Linked DNA regions of Arabidopsis thaliana. The protein of the gene in region 1 purifies or fractionates together with the protein of each later gene. This does not show direct contact. Each region holds a gene or a part of one and is shown on either strand. Other genes may lie near its edges. The genes, in order: ARPC4 and DIS1.

Region 1 (5,547 bases):
AATGGAGAGATGAGTTTGAGCCGCTTTACAAAAAAGAAACTGAGTTTTCAAATCTTGCTGAGCCTTCTTGGTTTTCGGGTTATGATAGGTGCAACATATAATTCTAATATCTATTTTGTGTGTTTAATGTGTATAAAATGGGTGTCTGATTCTGTGATATAAGTCCAATTTCACTCATAACTTGCAACTCATTATGTACAAATGACGCAAACCTCCTGGATTCGTAGAAGATTAAACCAACCTTCATGCAGATCTCTTAGCTTAGACTGCAATCCTAATTCCCAAACAATTCTACTTTTCATTTTCATGAGCGTGCTCCTTCCTTTATCTCGCACTCTCTATATTCTAGTAACAATATTCATATTTTTGGGTATTACACTAAATAGCAAATTACACTAACGGAACTACGTCTATCAACGTCTTCAACGCCAACTCCACGATCGTGACCTGTCCGGACAAATATGTTCTAAGATTGTCGAAGCCCAACTGCAAAGAAGTCAAAGTTTTTACTTGCCACAACAACGTCAACAACCTTTATTCATGATAGTCTCTGTCAGATTGACACACAAGTTATACAGTGTTGTGCCTTGTATTTCTTCTCCGTCGGCGACAGATTTGGACCAAGAAGAAGAAGAATCGGAGACTTGTGCAATCTGTTTGGAGAATATGTCGAGATCTGAGAATTGTTGCCAGATGCCTTATTGTAAGCATTGCTATCATGAAGGATGTGTCACTAAGTGGGTGATTACACTAAATAGCAAATTACCATTGTACCTAAAAACAACTCTTCCATATCTCAAAAGGGTATAGTCTATGTGTGTTAATTACCATTTTTTACAATCAATTCGTCCTGTTCCATCATCAAAGAGTAAATCTAACTTTTGTGACTTTTGAAACATCTTTGTCACACACTAGACCAACAAGTGAGACCTGAATATACCAAAAACATCACACAAAGACTTCTATAAGATCCATATATAATTTTTTTTGAATCTACCTCTTCTCTACTAATACAAATCTGTCCACAAGTTCTTCATCTACCATTCTTTTCACAGACGCAGACTTTTTCTTATGAATAAAACAAAAGATACAAGAAGAAACGATGTGAAGTAAAACATTACTTCCAGAGACTATTAATAACTCCGTACCGTTCTTCGTTCACCATTTGTTTGGCTCAATTTTCACAAGTTCCGAACCTATGCAATATACAACCAAATGGGAATGTCATACTCATATAGTAGATATTAGACATCTTAAAACAAGACATATGTTGTTGCTTTTTGTTTCGTTTTGCATACAGTTGTTGCTCTGTTGCTGACTATCTCTCGAAACCCATCTGAATAATACTCTGAAGATCGTTTTCCCAGAAGGGCGGCACCTAAAATAACACAACGCACAGCTAAGTAAACTTTCAGAGGAACCAAAACAGTGGAAAAATTTACATAGCAACCCAAAGTATCTTCAACATTAAGTACCTCATCTTGAACAAATTCATCACTTGAATGTAGTTAAGGACTCAACGAGTTCAATTGGAATTGAGTTTGAGTCTCTTATAATCTTGGAATGCTCTTGCCAAGAGAAAAGTACTCTGAAGGAAGTCTTGCCTCTGAGCAAGAAATCGACTGCGTTAACTCTCCCAGCTGCAACATCTACGCATGCAAATATGATATATACTACTCATCGGATACAGAACATTCTACAAGAAGCAGAGCCAGTCTTTGCTATAAATGAATACAGTAACATAAACAGATGTGTTAAAGCGCAAGTACCGCTTGTAGTTGTAGATTAGAACTTAGAAGTAGAGCAACCCGGTTCACCGGTTCAATCCGCAGAATCTTGCTGGTATTTGTGGGTCAATGAACATTCCATTTTAGAATGTACCAGATCCGGTCGGAGTGTCTGGTTTGGTTCGGTTTTGACGCATTTCGTTTCACTTATCCGGTCAATTTGATCGTGATTCAATTTTCCGATCGTTGATCTCTAAATCTCCTTACGATCTCTCCTCTCACGAGTCTCCAAGTCGTCCAAGGTATGCAATTTGTTCACGACCAAGGTTTTAGGGCTTTTGATTTGTCTGATTGATTCCTAGGGATCTAATTTGATTTCCCTTTCTCACATTTTCCAAAAGTTTCAGACTTTCAGTAGATTGGCTTATTTCTCTAAGTGGGTCTCTCAATAATCATGATCTTGTTGTTGCTTCGAGTTGATTACATAGAAACTCTAGTCTCCGGGATCTTGCTGTTACTTGATTGTTATTTTGTTCTCTTCTTATCTTAAACATTTGAGAGTGTTTTGTTTTCTTGTAGACATTTTGATCCTAAAGTTGCTTTCTTATTGACGTTTAGTATAAAAAAGTTGGTAACCTAAATTCTATGAAACTAAAGATGCTTTCTTGTTTATGTTTGGATTATTTTTTCAGCTCATAAAGATTCATCGAGAAGAAAGATAAAATCCTAAGTCTGGTGCAAGTCTCGAGTAGAATAACATCATTTCTAGGACATGGTAAGAACCTTGACTGTAATTCTAATTTTGATTCTTCTCATACTTGACAAAGACTCTTTTTCATTCAAACATGTCCTGTTTAGAAACAATTCTTTTAAACAATGTCTATCGCATACTGATTTACTGCAGAAATTGTTTAAAATTTGCTTCCGATGGGTCTTTGATGTTCCAGGCAAACTCATTACGGCTGTATCTAGCATGCATAAAAAATACACTCGAGGCTGCCATGTGCTTACAGGTACAAATTATTTTTGGTTCATGATATCATGGCATAGGTCTCAAAGTTTCCATCTTTATGGTTAAGTTTGTTTAAGGCAGTTAAAGCTTCATGTTGGCGTTCTATCTCATTCATCCACCTTTGGTCTGTTATTCTCTTGTATTAGTTGTTTACTTTTTGATTAGACATGTTGTACCATCATTCACTTACTTTTTGACGTTTTTCTCGCAATATTTGGTGTCAGAACCTACCGATTTCGTTAAAGTAGGTGAAAGGGGCCATGTGGAGTCTTTGAAAACATTCAGCTTTACATGGTTTATATTCCTGAAAGCTTCTATACTTCTCTACTTGCAGAATTTTCCTTGTCAAGAAGTTGAAAGGCATAATAAACCAGAGGTTGAATTAAAGTATGTAAGCTTCTCACAAGAAGATGCATGTGAGAATGGGGTGCTCTTCTTCCATTTTTATTTCAAGCATAGAATCTTATTATCACCATGTGTTTGCTAAATTTTGTAGGACGAGCCCAGAACTTTTGCTAAATCCTGTAAGAAGTTTACTTGTTTCCCTCCCAGTTTAGCGTTGATATTGCATTGTCTTCTTACCTAGGTTTTGTAGTTGACTGCTAAGTTTTGCAACTTGCAGGTTTTAATATGCCGAAATGAGGCTGAAAAGTGTTTAATAGAAACATCTATAAATTCACTCCGGATAAGCCTCAAGGTAAATGTTCATCTTACCCTAGCTTTTCCTTCAAATACTTCCAGGAAGAGCCCCAGTGGTACACTGTTCAACAAAGGCTTTGTGTTGTTTTACTTTCCTGTTTCTCACCGTTTCCTTTGTTTCTTTCTCCTGAGATAACGTCTTGACGAGTCGTGACTTAGTCTAGACATCTGTCTTGTTCTGCTGTTACAAATATTTGTTATCTTTAATTTGCAGGTCAAGCAAGCGGATGAACTTGAAAACATACTAACCAAAAAATTTCTCAGATTCTTGTCCATGAGGGCAGAAGCTTTTCAAGTACTGAGGAGGAAGCCAGTGCAGGTAGACCTTCTTATTGATTCAACACTTAGGTACTTGTGAGTGCTACTAGGTTTTATCTAGAAGTTGCAATGCATTCCCTCTTTTGTCGAACTTCTATTTTTTTTTAATGGTAAATGCATCACGAATTGATTAAACATAACGCAGACAGTATTCACAAATTCTCCTTAATTTTAGCTTTCTGTGCAGGCATTTTTTAGGTTTAGGATGATAGATAGTCTGTATGTACCACACCTTTCCTTTCTTTTTCCCTTCTATGAATCATGAATCATGAATCATCTCACTGTGCGGAAATGCATTGCCTTGGCTTTAGATGGTTTACTGTTTATTCCCCTGCATTGTGTGAACGATCCATTCCCTTATTCCCTTCAATTGGTTTCTTTGTTGGTGTTTTGAACAGGGCTATGACATAAGCTTTCTTATAACAAACTACCACTGCGAAGAGATGCAGAAACAGAAGCTAATTGATTTCATTATTCAGTTTATGGAGGCAAGTCTCTCTCGAAACCTAATCTTTTTATTCTATGACCTTGGTTGCTCCCATTAGTAGCATCCTAACAATCAATATATGTCTTGGTTGCATCAAACCTAATGTTAGTGATGCATCCTTACGTCGTTGTGTTTCTCACGGAAATAACTTGAGAAGTAGTATTCTGAATAGTTGCCTTAACAAAGGTCATTATATCCGTCTTTGAATTTGAATTGTTTCTACAAGAGTCAACAGAGATTAGTTACTCTGATTATGTCCTCCAACATGCTAATCTCCGCTTAAAATAGATTTGAAACTTGAAGTGTGACTATTTTTTAACCATGGAAATTGCAGGATATAGAGAAAGAAATAAGGGACTTGAAGGAGTCAGTGAATACAAGAGGAAGACTCGTTGCTACGGAGTTCTTGAAACAGTTCATGTAAAGCAGCTCTTGAAGTAGTATAATGTAACCCTTCATTGTATCAATCACTCGTTATTTGGTTAAAATCCATCTACTCTTCATTTTGCTACTTTCTCTGTTATTCTAACACAACCAAAGTACCGAGCCATCGGCTTGGTAATTGTAGTGTATGTAATGCGATACTTATCAAATGTGGTCTGTTGATCGTAGATGTTCGAACGTACAATCCCAGAAACCAAAAAGTTGTTTTATCTTATTCTTACCACCAAAGACCAACAAATTGTTCATCTCTGACAGAACAAAGATCCACAACAAAGGAAAAAACGTCGTCGTTTCTTTTACACCGTAACCCAAAATATGAGTTACTGGGCTGGGCCCATTATTGAAACTAATAATAGGGGAATTTATTAATTTGTTTGATTATTTCCTAAAAGAACGAACGACGCCGTATACACCGAGAAGCTCAACGTTCGTCATCACTCTTCTCGCTTCTCGGCGTCTCCATCGCCGTCTCTATCTAATCTCGTCCTGCGTCGACCTAGTGAGCTACTTCAGATTCCGGCCATCACGCAGCTCCAGGTTAGTTTTTATTTATGTCAAACAACGAATCGGTGTGTTGTGCCTAGAATGGAACTGATTTCTGGGTTTAGATTGAGAATTTCTACGGTTTAGGAAACGTTATTTAGGTCATACGAATCTGTTGTTTGTAGAAGATACGACGAAACAAATCCAGTCACGTGAAACAGAGCTAGTATTGATCTTTAACTCTGCTCTATTATCAAATTGATTGAGTCGATCTGAAATTCACAGATTACCATATTTGCACACTATGTTTTGTGACTAATTTCAGAAGAAAATGTTATTAGAGAGTAGAAAATGGATTCCTCAATGCTTATTGTAGT
Region 2 (5,988 bases), on another chromosome or scaffold:
CTCAACTGCTTACACCTACTAACTCCTAATTCTTAAAATTTGATTATCAATTACAATTAACGGTTTTAATTATAATGTTAAAGTCCATTTCAAATTCCAGTCACAATTTTTATTCCATCTAAAGTAATTTGATACAAATTTGATTTTGCTTCGAATATGGTTGTTTTGTCAACGGTTTTTTATATCAAATATAGTTTTTTTTCTCTTTTCAATGCAATCGGTTAGGTGGTATTTGATTTTTCCTTCAAATTGAATTTTAAAAAATTCATTTTGTTCTTGATGATACAGTTCAATTTATCTGAATTAAACAATCTTAACCATATTGAATATTAAAACATGAGTATTGTATATTTCATTATGATTACACCTCATTTACCCCCAAATCTCTTTAATCAATAAACTTGACATGATCATGAAAAAAAATCATTGTTTAAAAAAAAAAACTAAAACAATAAACAAATATTTGTTTTGATAGTTCGAATATAATACTGCTAATACATTGATGAGTATTTATAAGTAAAAAAACTTGTAGAATCTTAAAAATATATTTAGATCGTCCTTTATCAATAAAATTTGTACAAAATGCGCTTTGTAATATTTTTTCTTTACGGTTACATCTTTATATTTTATTTTTATTTTTTGCTAAAGTGAAAAAAATAGTGCATTCTTTAGAGCTTTGAAGAACGTTGGTAGATCAACAATGAGTCGTCTGGAAAACATGTCGGCAAGAGATGCTTACAGCAATGTGACTGATCTAAAAACGATAGCCAACAAATTCGTAAACGGCGAATATTAAATTGAAAAAACTAGTGAATTGAGTATCACATATCTGCGTTAACGAATTTAGTAATTTGTTGGACGAATGTAGTAATTCGTTAGATGAATGAGATCAATCAAGCCATTTAAAAAAATATATATTCATTCGCATTGTAGTTTTACACATACCACCTAACATTGACTATAAAAAATATATATGAAAAAGAAATCTGTTGCAAGGGAGACTAACCTAGCCCAACAATTTTTAAAGCTCTAGGGCAAAATAAAAATTCAGGACCTTATATTCATGTTAAAAAAAAAAATTTATATATTTGGGCATATTTATACTAAAAATTATTTTGTTTGGGTCTTTTGAAATTTTATTACCTTGAAAACAGGTCATACTTTACACTTAAATGCTAAAACATTGGGCTACATTTTCATTTTGTTATTTAAACGGACCGGTATGAGTGAGACATGCATGATGATTTAAGCTTATCTACTCAATAGGATTAGGCTGAGACTGATATGATTCCATTTTTCGAGACCGTGTGAACATAGTTCATGATAACTACTGTGTAGTAAAGTAGTAACAAGACTTCAATCTCAAGTTTTAATGGGTTTTGTTCGGTGGTTCAAGCGTCCTTATCATAAGTTTGTTTTTCTGTCTTCACTACACACATCTTAATATTGAGTTAATCCAATTAACAGTAGGCATATATCATATATCATATATCAGAACATTATTTGTGTTATGATTACCTTTTATATTATCAAAGTCCCTAGTTAATTTGGTTTGTTTACAAAGACGATTACAGTATATTATATATCCAAACAAAATTTGTAATGATGATAATCAGCCCAGTATGGTTCAATTCAATGTTATTGAAATTTGTTTGGTTTTTAAATCAGACTTGGTTATTGAGTCGGGTTGGAAAACCAAATTAACCACAGCGCATAAGGACGAAGCCAAAATTTAAAACAGTAGTTGTACATAACTTCATTTGTTTTTTATCGGAAAAATCTCACACGATAAAGTACCAGTCGACGACGGCGACTTTCTCTATGATCTGACCGTTTCGCTGAATCTCACGTGAATCTCTGATTTTCCGGGAAAATCAATTTTCTCTCATTGTCTCTCTCCCTACATTGTTTCTCATAGCCTACGAGAAATTACGTGGTAGCTTGTCGGAAACTCAACTTCCGTTGACGGAAGGCGCGAGAAAGAAGCAAGCTTAGGTTCGATCGGAAAATTCTAGGGTTCTCTAGTGTTTAAACGGTAGAGATAATCGATCTCTAATCGGATACTGTTTTGGATCTCCATTCACACCCTCTGGTGAGCTGATTTTGCTTTAGAGATCGCCGGCTTAGTTTCTCTAATGGATCCGACTTCTCGACCCGCTATTGTCATCGACAATGGAACTGGGTACGTTCAATGATAGGTTTGATTTGTTTATGCGCTTAACGTGTTCGATGAAATGCTGCAATTAGATTCATTCTTGTGTGTGTGTGTATTGCAGGTATACTAAAATGGGATTTGCGGGTAATGTAGAGCCATGTTTTATCTTACCAACAGTAGTTGCAGTAAACGAGTCGTTTTTGAATCAATCCAAGAGTTCTTCTAAGGCAACTTGGCAAACTCAGCACAACGCTGGAGTTGCTGCGGATCTCGATTTCTATATTGGAGATGAAGCTCTTGCGAAATCGCGGTCTAGTAGTACTCATAATCTTCATTATCCAATTGAGCATGGTCAAGTTGAGGATTGGGATGCTATGGAGAGATATTGGCAGCAGTGTATATTTAACTATTTGAGATGTGATCCTGAGGATCATTATTTTCTTCTTACTGAAAGTCCTCTTACTCCTCCTGAAAGTCGAGAATATACTGGAGAAATTTTGTTTGAGACTTTTAATGTTCCTGGGCTTTACATTGCTGTTAATTCAGTTCTTGCACTTGCTGCTGGCTACACAACATCAAAGGTATGTTACACATTTCTTTTCTCCAAGTATTTACGTTGTTTGCTGTGATGAAATGCTATGTATTAGCCTACTTGCTGTGATGAAATGATATGTATTTAAGTTGTTTGCTGGGATGAAATGATATGTATTTAGGCTATTAGTTGTTTAAGTTTGCTTGTAGACTGTGTGAATCCTTAAATCAAGTCATAATTATACTTTATTCAGTTTTGGTTTTAGGGACTGAGTCTCAAGAATAGGTTAGTGTAACCTCACCAACATTAGACAATTTCCGAGCTTTGTGGGATTTAGCAAATATTAAACATGTTCTCTTGTTTTTTGTTCTGTCTCGTTATGCTCGCCTCGCCTCTTAATTTGACTTACAATTCTTCTTAGTGTGAGATGACAGGGGTTGTAGTAGATGTTGGAGATGGGGCAACTCATGTTGTACCTGTTGCAGAAGGTTATGTCATCGGGAGCTGTATCAAATCGATTCCAATTGCTGGCAAAGATGTCACCCTCTTTATCCAGCAACTCATGCGGGTATGCACTAATTTATTATCTTAATATTAGTCTTGGTCTTCTTTTGTAGTTGGTTTTCATTCTTTCTCTGTGACATTTTAAGATTTTAAAGGCACAGAAGTTAAATGTGTTAAATCCAAGCTTTGAGTATGGTAGCTAGGCTTCCTGTTTATTTGTTTTAGATGTTGTGCTCATATGCTTAGAGAGGGTGTTTACTGGTTTAGATTAATGTATTAACTTCATGTAACTTCTCGTTTCAATGTTTACTGTAGGAAAGAGGTGAGAATATACCACCAGAAGATTCATTCGATGTAGCCCGTAAAGTGAAGGAAATGTACTGCTACACTTGTTCTGACATCGTAAAGGTAATCCTTAGTGGTGAATATTCAAGTCAGATAATATTAATATATACTCTTCTGAAAATTTATTACTGGCCTGTATGCTGAAATCGCTTGAAAAGAATATAGGAATATTGATAAAGAACATTCATATGGTTGCAGGAGTTTAATAAACATGACAAAGAACCAGCAAAGTATATTAAACAATGGAAAGGTGTAAAGCCAAAGACTGGTGCACCATACACTTGCGACGTGGGATATGAACGATTCCTTGGACCCGAGGTTTGTTACCATCTATCTGTTATAAAAAGTTGTAAGTTGATAAGATAACCAGAATCGGAGACTGGATATCTTTACTGGTGCATGAGTTTCTAGTATGTCAGTGAGCTGTTCATGATTTGTTATCGATTATAAGATATTTTCAGCACTCTGTTCTGATTACTGAACGGTACTGATATAAAACTATGCTCTCTCAGAAACTCAAATTAGGTAATTACTTAGTCCATTATGTTAACTGGAAGTCTGGAACTAATTCTTATCTAGTTAGAATTCAGCTGTCACTACTGGACCCATAGGAAGCTAATCTCCTTTGTATCTCTATACCAAGAGAGTAACTGGAAAGTGGAACATAATTTCCTTTATTGTTCTTGCGTTTTTGTTCTGCTATTACCGATGAGTAATGTTGAGATTTTGTGTGTTACAGGTGTTCTTTAATCCAGAGATATACAGCAATGACTTCACAACTACTTTACCAGCTGTGATAGACAAATGTATTCAGTCTGCACCAATTGACACACGAAGAGCTTTATATAAGGTTTGAAACGCCAAAGACTGGTCAGAGTTTTAAGATAATTTCCAATCCGCAATACTGATGAATTTGTGAAATCATTTCAGAATATAGTGTTGTCCGGAGGTTCAACTATGTTCAAAGATTTCGGAAGAAGGTTACAAAGGGACCTCAAGAAGATTGTTGATGCTCGTGTTCTTGCTAATAACGCTCGTACTGGTGGTGAAATTACGGTAAGAAAATTGTATGATATTCTGGAAAATAAAAGTGATAACCAGTTTTCTTAATCTGAGGTGATATTTATTTATAACCACAGTCTCAACCGGTGGAGGTTAATGTCGTGAGCCATCCTGTCCAGAGGTTTGCAGTTTGGTTTGGAGGCTCTGTGCTTTCATCAACTCCTGAGTTTTTCGCGGTATGCAAACTAGTTTAGAGATCCGCTAGTTTGAAGCTAAACCTCATGGCTTGATCGTGTTTTGAAACAAGATGTATTTTTGTTGTTGCAGAGTTGCAGAACGAAAGAGGAGTATGAGGAATATGGAGCAAGCATATGCCGCACGAATCCGGTGTTCAAGGGAATGTATTGAAGCTGCTTCATAAATAATTCACCAGCAGATTCTGTGAATGTTTGTCTGCTTTACTCCATTTCTATTACTGACTTTAGGGTTCTTGAGTACACACAGTGTAAGCTAGGCTTGATGTAGAAGTCATATTATTATTCAGACAAATTAAAGAAAAAAAGTATGTAGAAGTTTGATTTTTTTTTCATATTATTTTCTGTTAACTCAAGCATTAAATTCCACAGAAAAGTTCCGGATTATCAATCGTCTAATTGTCAAGTTATCATTTTTTATAAGCTTTTATTCCACTCAAGAGCTTAAGTTCTAGATGAAACACATGATAATTAAGTTTTGTCTACTTTATGATGTGTTTTATTTTTTATAAATTAGTTAATAATATTTAAAATTAGACATGAATAGATAAACCTTCTTTTGGGTAAAATACACAAAATCATTTTCTTAAATTACTCAAAACAAATATCTTTCATTACTCTTTGGTTTTGGAGTAATGTAAGATATTCTGTTGTTAATAATAAAGGAAAAAACTTTCATGGGAAAAAAAAATATATATATATATCTTTCATATGTTCTACAAAATACATTATTACATTTATAGCTTGTTGTATAAACGCACTAAAAAAACATGTAAAAGAAAAAAGTTTGTTAAGACAAACTGTTGACATCACGGTGAAGCTCTTCTTTCATTTTTTCTTCTTCTATCGGATAAGAAAGAGAACATCCCGAGTCTCGACGAATACGACTCTCTTCCTCCGATCTCATCAAAAACTCTTTCGCTAAAGCTCTGTTTCTGGGCGTTCAAACAATTCCGGAGTTTGTCGGATTCTCAACTTCCGTATACGGAGAAGGTCGAGCAACAAGTAGTCAAAGTAAGCAAGCGTAGTTTTTTCTCTCTGTCTTTTTCTTTCCGATCCTCAATTTCACGAGGCAATCAATTCAATTCTATTCAATTCGATGTTCTTACTCTCTCGTTGAACTGTAACTTTCCTCGTAGATCTAGTTTGTTTCTTTTCCGATTTTGTAAGAACCCTAATGTTTATAGATTTCTCGG

The links.
Region 2: the proteins of ARPC4 (region 1) and DIS1 fractionate together in Arabidopsis thaliana (co-fractionation; one study listed by BioGRID). This does not show direct contact.

Annotation. Positions count from the first base shown.
Region 1 is NC_003075.7:8,153,199-8,158,745, reverse strand, and holds ARPC4 (binding protein), read left to right. Parts: upstream 1-1,955; 5' UTR 1,956-2,029; intron 2,030-2,378; exon of another isoform or gene 2,379-2,419; 5' UTR 2,420-2,499; coding exon 2,500-2,502; intron 2,503-2,674; coding exon 2,675-2,740; intron 2,741-3,073; coding exon 3,074-3,126; intron 3,127-3,235; coding exon 3,236-3,263; intron 3,264-3,361; coding exon 3,362-3,436; intron 3,437-3,652; coding exon 3,653-3,757; intron 3,758-4,154; coding exon 4,155-4,248; intron 4,249-4,577; coding exon 4,578-4,684; 3' UTR 4,685-4,939; downstream 4,940-5,547. Other genes in the region: PAKRP1 (phragmoplast-associated kinesin-related protein 1), read left to right, coding at 1-101.
Region 2 is NC_003070.9:4,493,259-4,499,246, forward strand, and holds DIS1 (Actin-like ATPase superfamily protein), read left to right. Parts: upstream 1-1,665; 5' UTR 1,666-2,135; coding exon 2,136-2,182; intron 2,183-2,276; coding exon 2,277-2,736; intron 2,737-3,108; coding exon 3,109-3,255; intron 3,256-3,506; coding exon 3,507-3,599; intron 3,600-3,734; coding exon 3,735-3,854; intron 3,855-4,275; coding exon 4,276-4,386; intron 4,387-4,466; coding exon 4,467-4,592; intron 4,593-4,675; coding exon 4,676-4,774; intron 4,775-4,865; coding exon 4,866-4,946; 3' UTR 4,947-5,211; downstream 5,212-5,988.